Saccharomyces cerevisiae S288C: one gene and its partner. The protein of the gene in region 1 interacts with the protein of each later gene in a biochemical or structural test. Each region holds a gene or a part of one and is shown in the gene's direction. Other genes may lie near its edges.

Region 1 (7,573 bases):
TATCGTAGATTCAGTGGATACCTTGATGTTAATGTATAACTCCTCCACACTATACAAAAGTGAGTTCGAGGCAGAAATTCAGAGATCGGAGCATTGGATAAACGATGTTTTGGATTTTGATATTGATGCCGAAGTGAATGTTTTTGAAACTACTATTAGAATGCTAGGTGGTTTATTATCCGCATATCATCTATCTGATGTTTTAGAAGTAGGTAATAAGACTGTCTACTTGAACAAAGCAATAGATTTGGGGGATAGGCTTGCTTTGGCGTTCTTATCCACTCAGACCGGAATTCCATACTCAAGTATAAACCTTCATAGTGGCCAAGCGGTTAAGAACCATGCAGATGGGGGGGCATCTTCTACCGCAGAATTCACTACGCTACAAATGGAATTCAAATATCTGGCGTATTTGACAGGAAATCGTACTTATTGGGAGCTGGTGGAGCGTGTTTACGAGCCATTATACAAAAATAACGATCTTCTAAATACCTACGATGGATTGGTTCCAATTTATACATTTCCAGATACTGGGAAGTTTGGTGCTTCGACTATCCGGTTCGGATCAAGAGGTGATTCTTTTTATGAGTATTTACTAAAACAATATTTATTGACGCACGAAACACTTTATTATGATCTGTACAGAAAATCCATGGAAGGTATGAAAAAGCATTTATTAGCACAATCCAAACCCTCTTCTCTGTGGTACATTGGGGAAAGAGAACAAGGTCTACATGGACAACTTTCTCCTAAGATGGACCACCTCGTGTGCTTTATGGGGGGATTGTTAGCATCAGGCTCTACTGAGGGCCTTTCTATTCATGAAGCCCGAAGACGTCCGTTTTTCTCTCTTTCCCTTGAAAGAAAAAGTGACTGGGATTTGGCTAAAGGGATAACTGACACATGTTATCAAATGTACAAGCAGTCTTCCTCGGGGCTTGCGCCTGAAATCGTTGTCTTCAATGATGGAAACATAAAACAGGATGGTTGGTGGCGGTCGTCTGTGGGTGATTTTTTTGTTAAACCACTCGATAGGCACAACCTACAAAGACCAGAAACGGTGGAATCGATTATGTTCATGTATCATTTATCTCATGATCACAAATATCGTGAATGGGGGGCGGAAATCGCAACTAGCTTCTTTGAAAATACCTGTGTTGATTGTAATGACCCAAAATTAAGGCGGTTCACCAGTTTAAGTGATTGTATCACGTTACCTACAAAGAAATCTAACAATATGGAAAGTTTCTGGTTGGCAGAGACTTTAAAGTATTTATATATATTGTTTTTAGACGAGTTTGATTTGACCAAAGTTGTTTTCAACACAGAAGCTCATCCTTTTCCAGTATTAGACGAAGAAATATTAAAATCGCAGTCTCTGACCACAGGTTGGTCGTTGTAGGTTAGTGTGCTATATAGTGGCCAGATTCGCCTTTTAAAATTCACTATGCGGTGTGATGATGTGCTATACCATTTTTTCCATGTTTAGGAAAATGAAAAATTTGCAATGCTTACTTCAGCAAAAAAGTATATTTGAATCAATATTCATTTATATATTTCAGCATAATCAATCATTTTTCGTCTGGATATTTGACACAATTTTGATTTTGACGAAGACATTTTATTCTCGATGGATATTACAGAATTGTTACAGTGCTTTGCCTGTACTTTGGACCATAACGCTGCCGTAAGAACTAATGCAGAAACACATCTTAAAAATGCAAGTAAAGTACCGGGATTCTTAGGCGCATGCCTGGATATCATTGCTGCTGATGAAGTACCAGAAAACATCAAATTATCAGCTTCCTTATATTTCAAGAATAAGATTACATACGGATGGTCTGCTGGTGCAAGACAGGGTTCAAATGAATTATTAGATTCACATGTTGATCCGGATGAAAAACCAGTAGTAAAAGATATGTTAATTAAAACAATGGTCAGTGTGTCCAAGACCTCCCCGCGTTGTATCAGAGTGCTAAAATCTGCCCTTACTGTAATTATTTCAGAAGATTACCCTAGCAAAAAATGGGGCAATTTGTTACCAAATTCCTTAGAATTACTCGCAAATGAAGACATCACAGTAACATATGTCGGACTTCTGTGTCTTGCTGAGATTTTTAGGACCTATAGGTGGAAGAATAATGATGAAAGACAGGACTTAGAAGAGTTGATTTTAAATTATTTCCCTGCTTTATTAAACTATGGCGCAAATGTCCTTTTCCAAGATGGTAAATATATGAATAACGAGCAAATTGGCGAATTGGTAAAATTAATCATTAAAATTTATAAGTTCGTTTCATACCATGACCTACCATTTACATTACAACGCTCAGAATCGTTTACCCCATGGGCATGTTTTTTTGTCAGCATCATTCAGCAGCCATTGCCTCAGGAAGTTTTGGCTATATCAGATATTGAGGTCAGAAGTAAAAATCCATGGGTCAAATGTAAGAAATGGGCTCTTGCAAACCTTTATAGACTTTTCCAGAGATACGCATCAACGTCATTAACAAGGAAGTTTCAGTACGATGAGTTTAAACAGATGTACTGTGAAGAGTTTTTGACTCAGTTTTTGCAAGTCGTCTTCGATCAAATCGAGAAATGGGGAACTGGACAGTTGTGGTTAAGTGACGAATGCTTATACTACATATTGAACTTTGTTGAGCAGTGTGTTGTGCAGAAAACAACTTGGAAACTTGTTGGGCCCCACTACAATGTAATACTTCAACATGTCATTTTCCCACTACTAAAGCCCACTGCAGAGACTTTGGAGGCCTTTGACAATGACCCTCAAGAATATATCAACCGGAATATGGACTTTTGGGATGTCGGCTATTCCCCAGATCTTGCCGCACTGGCTTTGCTAACGACATGCGTGACGAAACGCGGTAAAACGACCTTACAACCGACCTTAGAATTTATGGTCTCAACCTTACAAAGTGCCGTTGGTGATTACAACAATATTATGTTGGATAATGCCTTGCAAATTGAGTCCTGTTTGAGAATATTCTCCAGCATTATTGACCGTTTGATAACTAAAGATTCTCCATTTGCCAGTGAGATGGAAAAGTTTATATTGACATACGTTTTACCTTTTTTTAAGTCTCAGTATGGGTTTCTGCAAAGTCGTGTTTGCGATATTTGTTCGAAGTTGGGTTCTATGGATTTCAAAGACCCGGTAATAACCTCTACTATCTACGAAGGTGTTATGAATTGTCTGAATAACTCTTCTAATTCTTTACCTGTAGAATTGACAGCTGCATTGGCATTGCAAACTTTTATCAGTGATGACCAGTTTAATATGAAGTTATCCGAACACGTTGTTCCTACTATGCAGAAATTACTAAGTTTGTCTAATGATTTTGAATCTGATGTCATTTCAGGCGTTATGCAAGATTTTGTGGAGCAGTTTGCTGAGCAATTACAACCTTTTGGTGTTGAATTAATGAACACTTTGGTCCAACAGTTTTTGAAATTAGCTATTGATCTGCATGAAACATCCAATTTGGATCCAGATTCCTTCACGAACGTTGATAGCATACCCGATGAATCTGACAAGCAAATGGCGGCGCTAGGTATTTTGTCGACTACGATATCTATTCTGTTGTCTTTTGAGAATTCACCTGAAATTTTAAAAAACTTGGAACAGTCATTTTATCCAGCTGCAGAGTTTATTTTGAAAAACGACATCGAAGATTTCTATCGCGAATGTTGCGAATTTGTAGAGAACTCTACATTCCTACTAAGAGATATCACACCCATCAGCTGGAAAATTTTGGAGCTGATTGGAGAATGTAATAGAAAACCAGATAGTATGGTATCTTATTATTTAAGTGATTTCATGCTAGCCTTAAATAATATCCTCATTTATGGAAGGAACGAATTAAAGAAGAACGAGTTTTACACAAAAATCATATTCGAAATATATCAAAAGGCTGTTACTGCAGAAGATAATTCGTTAGACGATCTTAGAGTGGTTTTTGATTTATCCCAAGAGTTGGTTCTTGCATTAGATGACAGTTTACCTCAACAATACAGAGAGCGCCTACTGGCGGATGTTGTCGGCTCTATTCTAACGCAAAAGAATGAATTGAAAACTAATGTTGTATTTAGTGTGACTGCTTTTAATGTCGTAATCTCAAATATGATAACAGAGCCTTTGATCACGCTTCAGTACCTGAAACAGCAAGGTTGTCTTGAAATCTTCTTTCAAACGTGGATTACAGACTATATTCCGAATTATAAAAGGTGCTATGATATCAAATTATCAGTTCTTGCGTTATTAAAAATTATACTGAAGTTAGAAAGCAACGATTATTCAGTGTTGAACTTAGAAAATTTGGTTCCGCAATTAGGGAGTATTGTTACGCAGTTAGCTTCGAGGCTACCAACGGCGTTAAGGCAATTAGCTAACCAACGCAAGGAATTCTCATCATCCGGTTTTGAAGAGGATACTAAGTGGGATGAAAATTTTCTTGACGTTGGAGACGATGATGAAAATGATGACGAGGGAGACCTTACTGAGAAATATCTGGAACTGATAAAAAATAGAGCCGATTCCTTGGACTTCGTAGATGGTTATGACGCAAAGGAAACTTTCGATGACCTAGAAGAGGACCCATTAACGGGGTCGATCCTGGACACAGTTGACGTATACAAGGTTTTCAAGGAGTCCATTGCGAACTTACAACATGTTGACAGCAATAGATATCAGGGAATCTTGAGACATCTGACCCCGGCTGATCAAGAACTATTCATGGGAATTATGAATGCCTAATTGAATTAAATGGCGATTGTATATTGAAACAAACACTGGATTACATAATTTAGATAGAAGAGAGAGGATATTATGCTCAAAGTTTGTTGCCTTTGCCTCGGCCAGTTGACTTTGATTTGATATCAAGATCTTTTTTTTTTATCTGGAGTCAATGCGATGAACCTAAAAAAATCACAAGCTTTTTTTATCTCTAAGCTGGGGAAAGAATCGTAGTTAAATCGGAAAGAAAAATATCTGAGTTTTGTCAGTCTTTCTTTTGCATAGCCCATCCTTGTACTAGATTTCATAAACATTGATCACTTCAAAATATACTTGTACCAAGATGGCCGAAAATGAGAGAATGTACATCTCCTATAATAATATTCACAAGCTTTGTCAGGGAGTGGCTAAACATATCTTAGCTAGAAACGAAAGACCTGATATTATTATCGCCATCACTGGTGGTGGTATGATCCCCGCAAGAATTATTAGGTCCTTTTTGAAAACTAAAGGACAAAAGAATATTCCGATTCAGGCCATCGGCCTATCTTTGTATGAAGATTTAGGGTTGGATAATAGCGTCGAAACTATCGGCAAAGAGGTCATCAGAACACAATGGCTGGACTTCGGTGCTTTGAACCAACATTTCGATTCCTTAATTGGTAAAAAGGTCCTAATTGTGGATGAAGTTGACGATACTAGAACTACCCTCCACTATGCTGTTTCTGAGCTGGAAAAAGAGATTGCTGAACAACAAAAGGTTTTGAATAGAATGAGTGAGGAAACCGTTATTTCTATCTTTGTTCTACATAATAAGGACAAACCAAAGAGAGCTGGACTACCTGACTCCATGATGAATTCTGGACGTTACATTGCTGCGCAAACTGTCCCTGATAAGTGGTTGTGCTATCCATGGGACGCTGAAGATATCGAAGAACATACCATGCTCGCTAAGGCTCAAGGTCATGACTGATGACAAACAGTATGTTGCGATGGGGTTGCATGTATATAGATACATATAGTTATCATTGGTAATTATTTCATATTTAACCTAAATCTAAAGATAAGAGTGTATTTCTAGTTATCTCATTTTTCCTTGCATTTCTACCATTTGTTGAACTTGTTGATGCATCATCTCTTTTAAATCGGACACATCATTTTCTAATTCCTCCACTTGTTCAGTCTTTTCACCTAATAGTTGTAAGGAGGTTTCCAATTTACTTTGCATCTGCTCAACTCTTTTTAAGAGATCATCTTTCTGTTTATTTACCTCATTGAATTTATCGTTTTCTTCCAGAAGTCTTAAAATCTCATCATTTGCTTTTGTCTTTTCTTTCAGTAAATTATCGTATAATTCCTTTGATGCTGATAATTCACCTTCCAATCTTTTTAACTCCGTACTTAACTTGTTCACCAGATGAGCGCTTATGTGGCCGTTAGAATTCGATAGCTGGACGCTAGCTCTTCTGTATGGTATTGATGTGTTGTTTAACGAGTTCATTGATTCCCCTTCCCTGATTGCTTGTAAAGCAGCGGCCTCTTCTGGAATATCGTCAATGCTGAAATCCACATTTTTTCTATCAAAATGTTGGCTTTCTTCGCTACATATGGTTTCGTGAGATTCATTGTAAATGGGTTTTAGAGACGGATCGCTTTCTAATTCGCCAAGTTTTGACATTGATAATGACAGCATAGAATTTTCTTGAGGTAAAGTCCATTCGTCTTCTATATTTCCCTCCATGGAGTTTAAACTATCTGTTAATTCTACAGGTATTTTATCTATAATTTTCTCATTGCTGTTTTCTTGATGTGGTTTTAGTTCGTTCTCTTTTTGTTCCAACTGAGACCTTTGAATTTCGTACTTCTTCTTCAGTAGATTATAATCATCACTTATACTTTGCAATGATGACTTCAATGTCTCCGCCCGTCTCTCCAAGTCTTTCACTTCCAAAACTGCCTTCGAATGATTCTCTTTTTCTTTTTCTAATTGCTTACCTAATGTTTCAGATGAACGTAAGGCAGTTTGATATTTTTCTTCAATATCATTTTTTTCTTTCATTGTAGATTCAAAGCGGTTTTCCAAGTTCACAATTTTAGTGTTCAAAGCGTATTCAATACTATCCCAGTTGGCCTTTGATGACTCAAGCTGTTCTTTGAGCCGATTGTATTGGAAAGATGCGTGTTGTTTTTCTTCATAACTTTGTTGGTCATCGACAAAATCTCTATTTGATTTAGCGTCTAAATTTTGAGTAGAGCTATCTAATTCTATTCTTAGTTGTTCTAGTTTAGTCTCTAGAGTGGTAACTTGATCAACTGTTGCTTCTTGTAGTGCTTTCTTTTCCGTTTGAAATTCACTTTTTTCTTTTTCAAGCAATGTTCTCATATTATCTAAAGATTGCTGTAAAATTGTTATCAAATCATCTTTTTCTTTTATATTTTTCTCTAATGTTTCAAGTGACTCTTTTTGTTTATCTGCATCCTTTAATTTATTTGTAGCTTCAGCCAGTTGTCCTTGTATGTTGTGATACAATGATTGCAGCTCATTATAGTTTTCGACACTCTGAGCAGAACTATCGTTTAGTTCAGATACCTCATACTCTAAGTCTTTCACTTTTGTTCTTAAAGCTTTGATTTGATTTGATTGCCTCAGCTCAGTTTCCGCTAATTTAGCTCCTTCTTTTCTCAACTGATCTATCAAGTCGTCCTTCTCTTTAATCAATTTGAAAAAACTAGAATCCGTGGTTTCGATTTGTGATTTTCTGTTTAGTTCGTTAGTTAGGTCATCAATCTGTTTGTTTAATCTTAAATATTCAGGAC
Region 2 (4,378 bases), on another chromosome or scaffold:
GCGGTTGTTAACAGCACTAATGCAATGTTAAACCGTTTGGAACAAGGCAGTAATGGTTTTATGTTTGCTTGAGCCACACGTGTATATAAAAATGTTTGTTTTCCTTTTGGCCCTTTTTCTTTCTTGGTATTTTCTTTACTTCAGTGTTAAATTGTATTTGGTCTTAGGCTGACGGTGATATAACAGCGCTTTATTTTCTTTTTTTCATTGCTTTTTATCGTTTTCAAGATTCCATGTCCTTTTATTAAGTCTTTTTTGTATCGTTATAGTTGCGTTTTTCCTTTTGATTTTCATTTCTTTCAAGGTTATTGTTATTCTTAATTCAATTCAAGATTGTACGCTTTTAAGCATGTTTATGATTTTCCTTTATTACTTCCATTTACCTTCTTTCCATCACTACTCATTACGGCCTGTCAATTCCTTTTTTGCGTCACCTTCATTTTTTCTTCTCTGTTCTTTTCTGTATTTGTCGAAAATTTTATATTGATGTATCTTAATTTTATTTTTAGTATTATTATACTGTAAATGTTTCTTACTGTGTCAAGATTTCCCGTTGCGCTATCTTCCAAGACTACGTAATGCGTTTGTCTCTCTATTCATGTTGTCTCTGTATAGGGGCACGGCGAATTCCTACTCCGTGTCTCTTCTCCTATATCTTTACACCAAATTTGGCCCATTTTCATTCCCCTTTACGTAGTAGCGGTTTTCGGCCTGCCGGTGCTACGCGTTTCTATAGCTAGTTTCGTTTTCTCACAAATAAATCCTAGCAGGAGGAAAAGAAAGCGCAGGTTGAAACTCCGTTCAGAAGAAGAAAGCCACTCTTTGAAAATACTGCCCACGCAATTGTCCCTTTCTGACAATAAGACCCCTTACTACTAGTAAATGTTTTTATTCTCTAAGCTTCTTTTCCTCTAACTTCGACGCTAGAGCAGGCACTACCCTGTTGGGCCGTACGTAACAACAACGACCCCTTATTTAGTCGAAGGGATCGCCAGAAACAGGGAGCAAAAGATATTTAAGTGATGAGAATCAATTTCGATGATGATCACAAGCCAATGTTCTTTAAACTCAATTCTTGACTAATAAAAAAGCAGCTATCAACAAATTCATACTTTGAACAAGCTGATAAAAATAAGAAAACCATCGCATACACAAAATAAAATCAACATGTCTACTGTAACCAAATACTTTTACAAGGGTGAAAATACAGATTTGATTGTCTTCGCTGCATCCGAAGAGCTTGTAGACGAATATTTGAAAAATCCATCAATTGGTAAGCTATCTGAAGTTGTCGAACTCTTCGAAGTTTTCACTCCTCAGGACGGTAGGGGTGCCGAGGGTGAGTTGGGCGCTGCCTCCAAGGCCCAAGTGGAAAATGAGTTCGGTAAGGGCAAGAAGATCGAAGAAGTTATCGATTTGATATTGAGAAATGGTAAGCCAAACTCTACCACCTCTAGTCTCAAAACCAAAGGGGGTAACGCCGGAACCAAAGCCTACAATTGAGTAGCTTTTCCTTCTGTCTGGACAGCCTGCATTGAAATATGCAATAAGTTAAATTGGCGTGCTGCCCTGTCATAACGCATGCATTCTTCTTTTACAGTAGTAGAAAGAACAAAAAGGTGTATATTTCAATATACATATTTACGATCTATATAACGTTGTATACATTTAATTCAGTGCATTTTTCATTTTCGCGTTCGTCACACATGATTATTTATACAAAGGAAAAGTAAAATTTTTAGCGATGAGATGTAAAAAGAAATGCGATGCCATAAGCTATACTTTACGATTGAACACCTAAGGAAGAGGTAAAGCAGGCTTAATATATTGAAATACTAAAAAATGGCTCTCGGTAATGAGATAAACATCACAAACAAGCTAAAGAGGCAAGAAATTTTTGCTGATATAAAACATGAAAAAAATAAAGAGCGCCATACCATGAGAAGAAAGAGAGCTAAGGAAGAGAGAGAGAATCCGGAGCTGCGGGAGCAGAGATTAAAAGAGAACGTAACACAGACGATAGAGAACACTAGAGTGTACGATGAGACCATTAACAAGGAAGTGGAGGGAGATGAAGACGATTTGATGAGATACTTCAACAGCAATTCTAATGAGCCACCAAAGATCTTTCTGACCACAAATGTAAACGCTAAGAAGAGCGCTTATGAATTTGCTAACATTTTAATCGAAATTTTACCAAACGTCACATTTGTGAAAAGAAAATTTGGCTACAAATTGAAGGAAATATCTGATATTTGTATAAAAAGGAATTTCACTGACATCGTGATAATCAACGAGGACAAGAAAAAGGTTACTGGCCTAACATTCATACATCTGCCAGAGGGCCCAACTTTTTATTTTAAATTATCATCATTTGTTGAAGTGAAGAAAATTGTCGGTCATGGTAGACCAACTAGCCATATTCCAGAATTGATTCTAAATAATTTCCAGACCAGATTGGGTCAAACAGTAGGTAGGTTGTTTCAGTCCATTTTACCTCAGAATCCTGATATTGAAGGTCGACAAGTTATCACCCTACATAATCAAAGAGATTACATTTTCTTCAGAAGGCATCGGTATGTCTTCAAAGATAATGAAAGGGTTGGTTTGCAAGAACTGGGTCCACAATTTACCCTCAAGTTGAAAAGATTGCAAAGGGGTATTAAGGAAGAAACTGAATGGGAGCATAAACCTGAGATGGACAAAGAAAAGAAAAAGTTTTATTTATAGTGTTCCATTCGTAAACTTTGTATGGATATAATATTAAGACAACCGTAAGAACCGTGGTCGTTTGTTTAACTACGGCGGCTTCTGGTATTACTGAATTTCTCTTTTTTTCATTTTAAATCAATTTATTACAGGTAAATCAATCAAACAAATATATATATATATAGTATACAGAACAAACGGTAATTTCTTTTTTTTTTTTTCGACGTTAGACGTGCTTCGGCAGATATAGTAAGTTGGAAGAAATGAAGAATTGTGAAAGATAAAGGATGGTTTTTTTTTTTATTTTTTTCTAGCTAGATTATCTTCTACCTCCTCTGAAACCACCACGAGATCCGCCACGAGATCCTCCTCTAAATGATCCGCCACGAGATCCACCTCTGAAAGAACTGCCACCACGGCCTCCTCTGAAAGAACTACCACCACGGCCTCCTCTGAAACCTCCTCTGCTACCACCGCGACCCATTGAAGCACCACCACGGCCACCTGGGGCACCACTTCTCTTCTTCTTGTTTTTTGGTTTTGGTGGGCCTACCACCTTAGGCTTAGGTAAAAATCTTTCAATAGGCAATAGTTTGTCAGCGGCAATGTAGAATTTATCACCTTCTTTAAAACTGGTTGCTTGGACACCGTCACCACACTTGATAGTGAAAAATACTTCGTTTAATGGACCCAATATTTCGTCAACTTTACCGACTTGAGTCTTGTTTTCCAAATATATTGGCGCATTGAAATATGGAATCTTAGTGTTGATAGAACGGCAAACAATATCACCCTCACATGGATGTAGAAAAGCTCCCATTTCTAGAACAGTGTCTGGTGGTCCTTGTTGAAATGATCTAGCACTGCCTGTACGTCCACCACGAAAGCCGCCACGGAAGCCGCCACGGCCACCTCTATTACCTCCTCTGAAACTCATTATTTTCTTTTGGTTAAAAATTATCCTCAGGTGATCTTTTGGTAGAAGAGAGCAATCAGATACTCTATCGAAAAGGTGCTCACGTTATAAGGCTAACAAATTAATTTTTTCTTCCTTTCCTCATCTCGAAAAATTTTTCACTACAAAAAATTCCGACGTCAAAGTTTGAAAAAAAGACCATCTGATCACGTGACACCTTTTTCCTGCTCATAAGTTTTAAAAACCGTATGACACATATGCTAATGAAATTAAAATATATAGTATATACCTGAATATGCAGGAATCATATCTTAGTTTGATTCACAAGTATTTGAAAGTACATTCAAAAATGTCAATCGTATATGTCCTTGCTAGCTGATGTCTCGAAATTACTTCTCCTTTTCGAAAAGCACATTGTCAGAATAGCAATCACCGTTTCTGGCTTATGGAATATTATTAGTGTAAATGAGGTCATTCAGTCTCAAAAAGGTATTTTTGTTCAGTTACGTTTTCTTTTCAGTTTGTTTTTTTCCATCTCAATTTTACATTCGGGACAGTACCATGTTCCTTTCGGAGGTTCTTTTAAATTTACACAATCATAATGAAACCATTCATATTTACAGTTGGGTCCATCACATGCAACCATTTCTCCAAACGAAACTCTTTGACAGAAGCAGTATAAAGTTTTGTCCTCTTCCTCGTTTTCAGGGGAACCGTTTTGGCCTTTACCATTTCTACTGTTTTTGAATTCTT

The links. The genes of interacting proteins can lie anywhere in the genome.
Region 2: the proteins of NMD5 (region 1) and RPF1 form a complex in vitro, tested with the Saccharomyces cerevisiae proteins (one study listed by BioGRID).

Annotation. Positions count from the first base shown.
Region 1 is NC_001142.9:667,892-675,464, forward strand, and holds NMD5 (Nmd5p), read left to right. Parts: upstream 1-1,630; coding exon 1,631-4,777; downstream 4,778-7,573. Other genes in the region: MNS1 (mannosyl-oligosaccharide 1,2-alpha-mannosidase), read left to right, coding at 1-1,402; XPT1 (xanthine phosphoribosyltransferase), read left to right, coding at 5,100-5,729; SGM1 (Sgm1p), read right to left, coding at 5,838-7,573. UniProt on the Saccharomyces cerevisiae protein: Active in protein import into the nucleus. Its major import substrate is transcription elongation factor TFIIS.
Region 2 is NC_001140.6:279,653-284,030, forward strand, and holds RPF1 (rRNA-binding ribosome biosynthesis protein RPF1), read left to right. Parts: upstream 1-1,842; coding exon 1,843-2,730; downstream 2,731-4,378. Other genes in the region: NAM8 (Nam8p), read left to right, coding at 1-72; YHR086W-A (uncharacterized protein), read left to right, coding at 579-740; RTC3 (Rtc3p), read left to right, coding at 1,168-1,503; H/ACA snoRNP pseudouridylase subunit GAR1, read right to left, coding at 3,029-3,646; histone acetyltransferase YNG2, read right to left, coding at 4,125-4,378. UniProt on the Saccharomyces cerevisiae protein: Essential protein. Required for biogenesis of the 60S ribosomal subunit.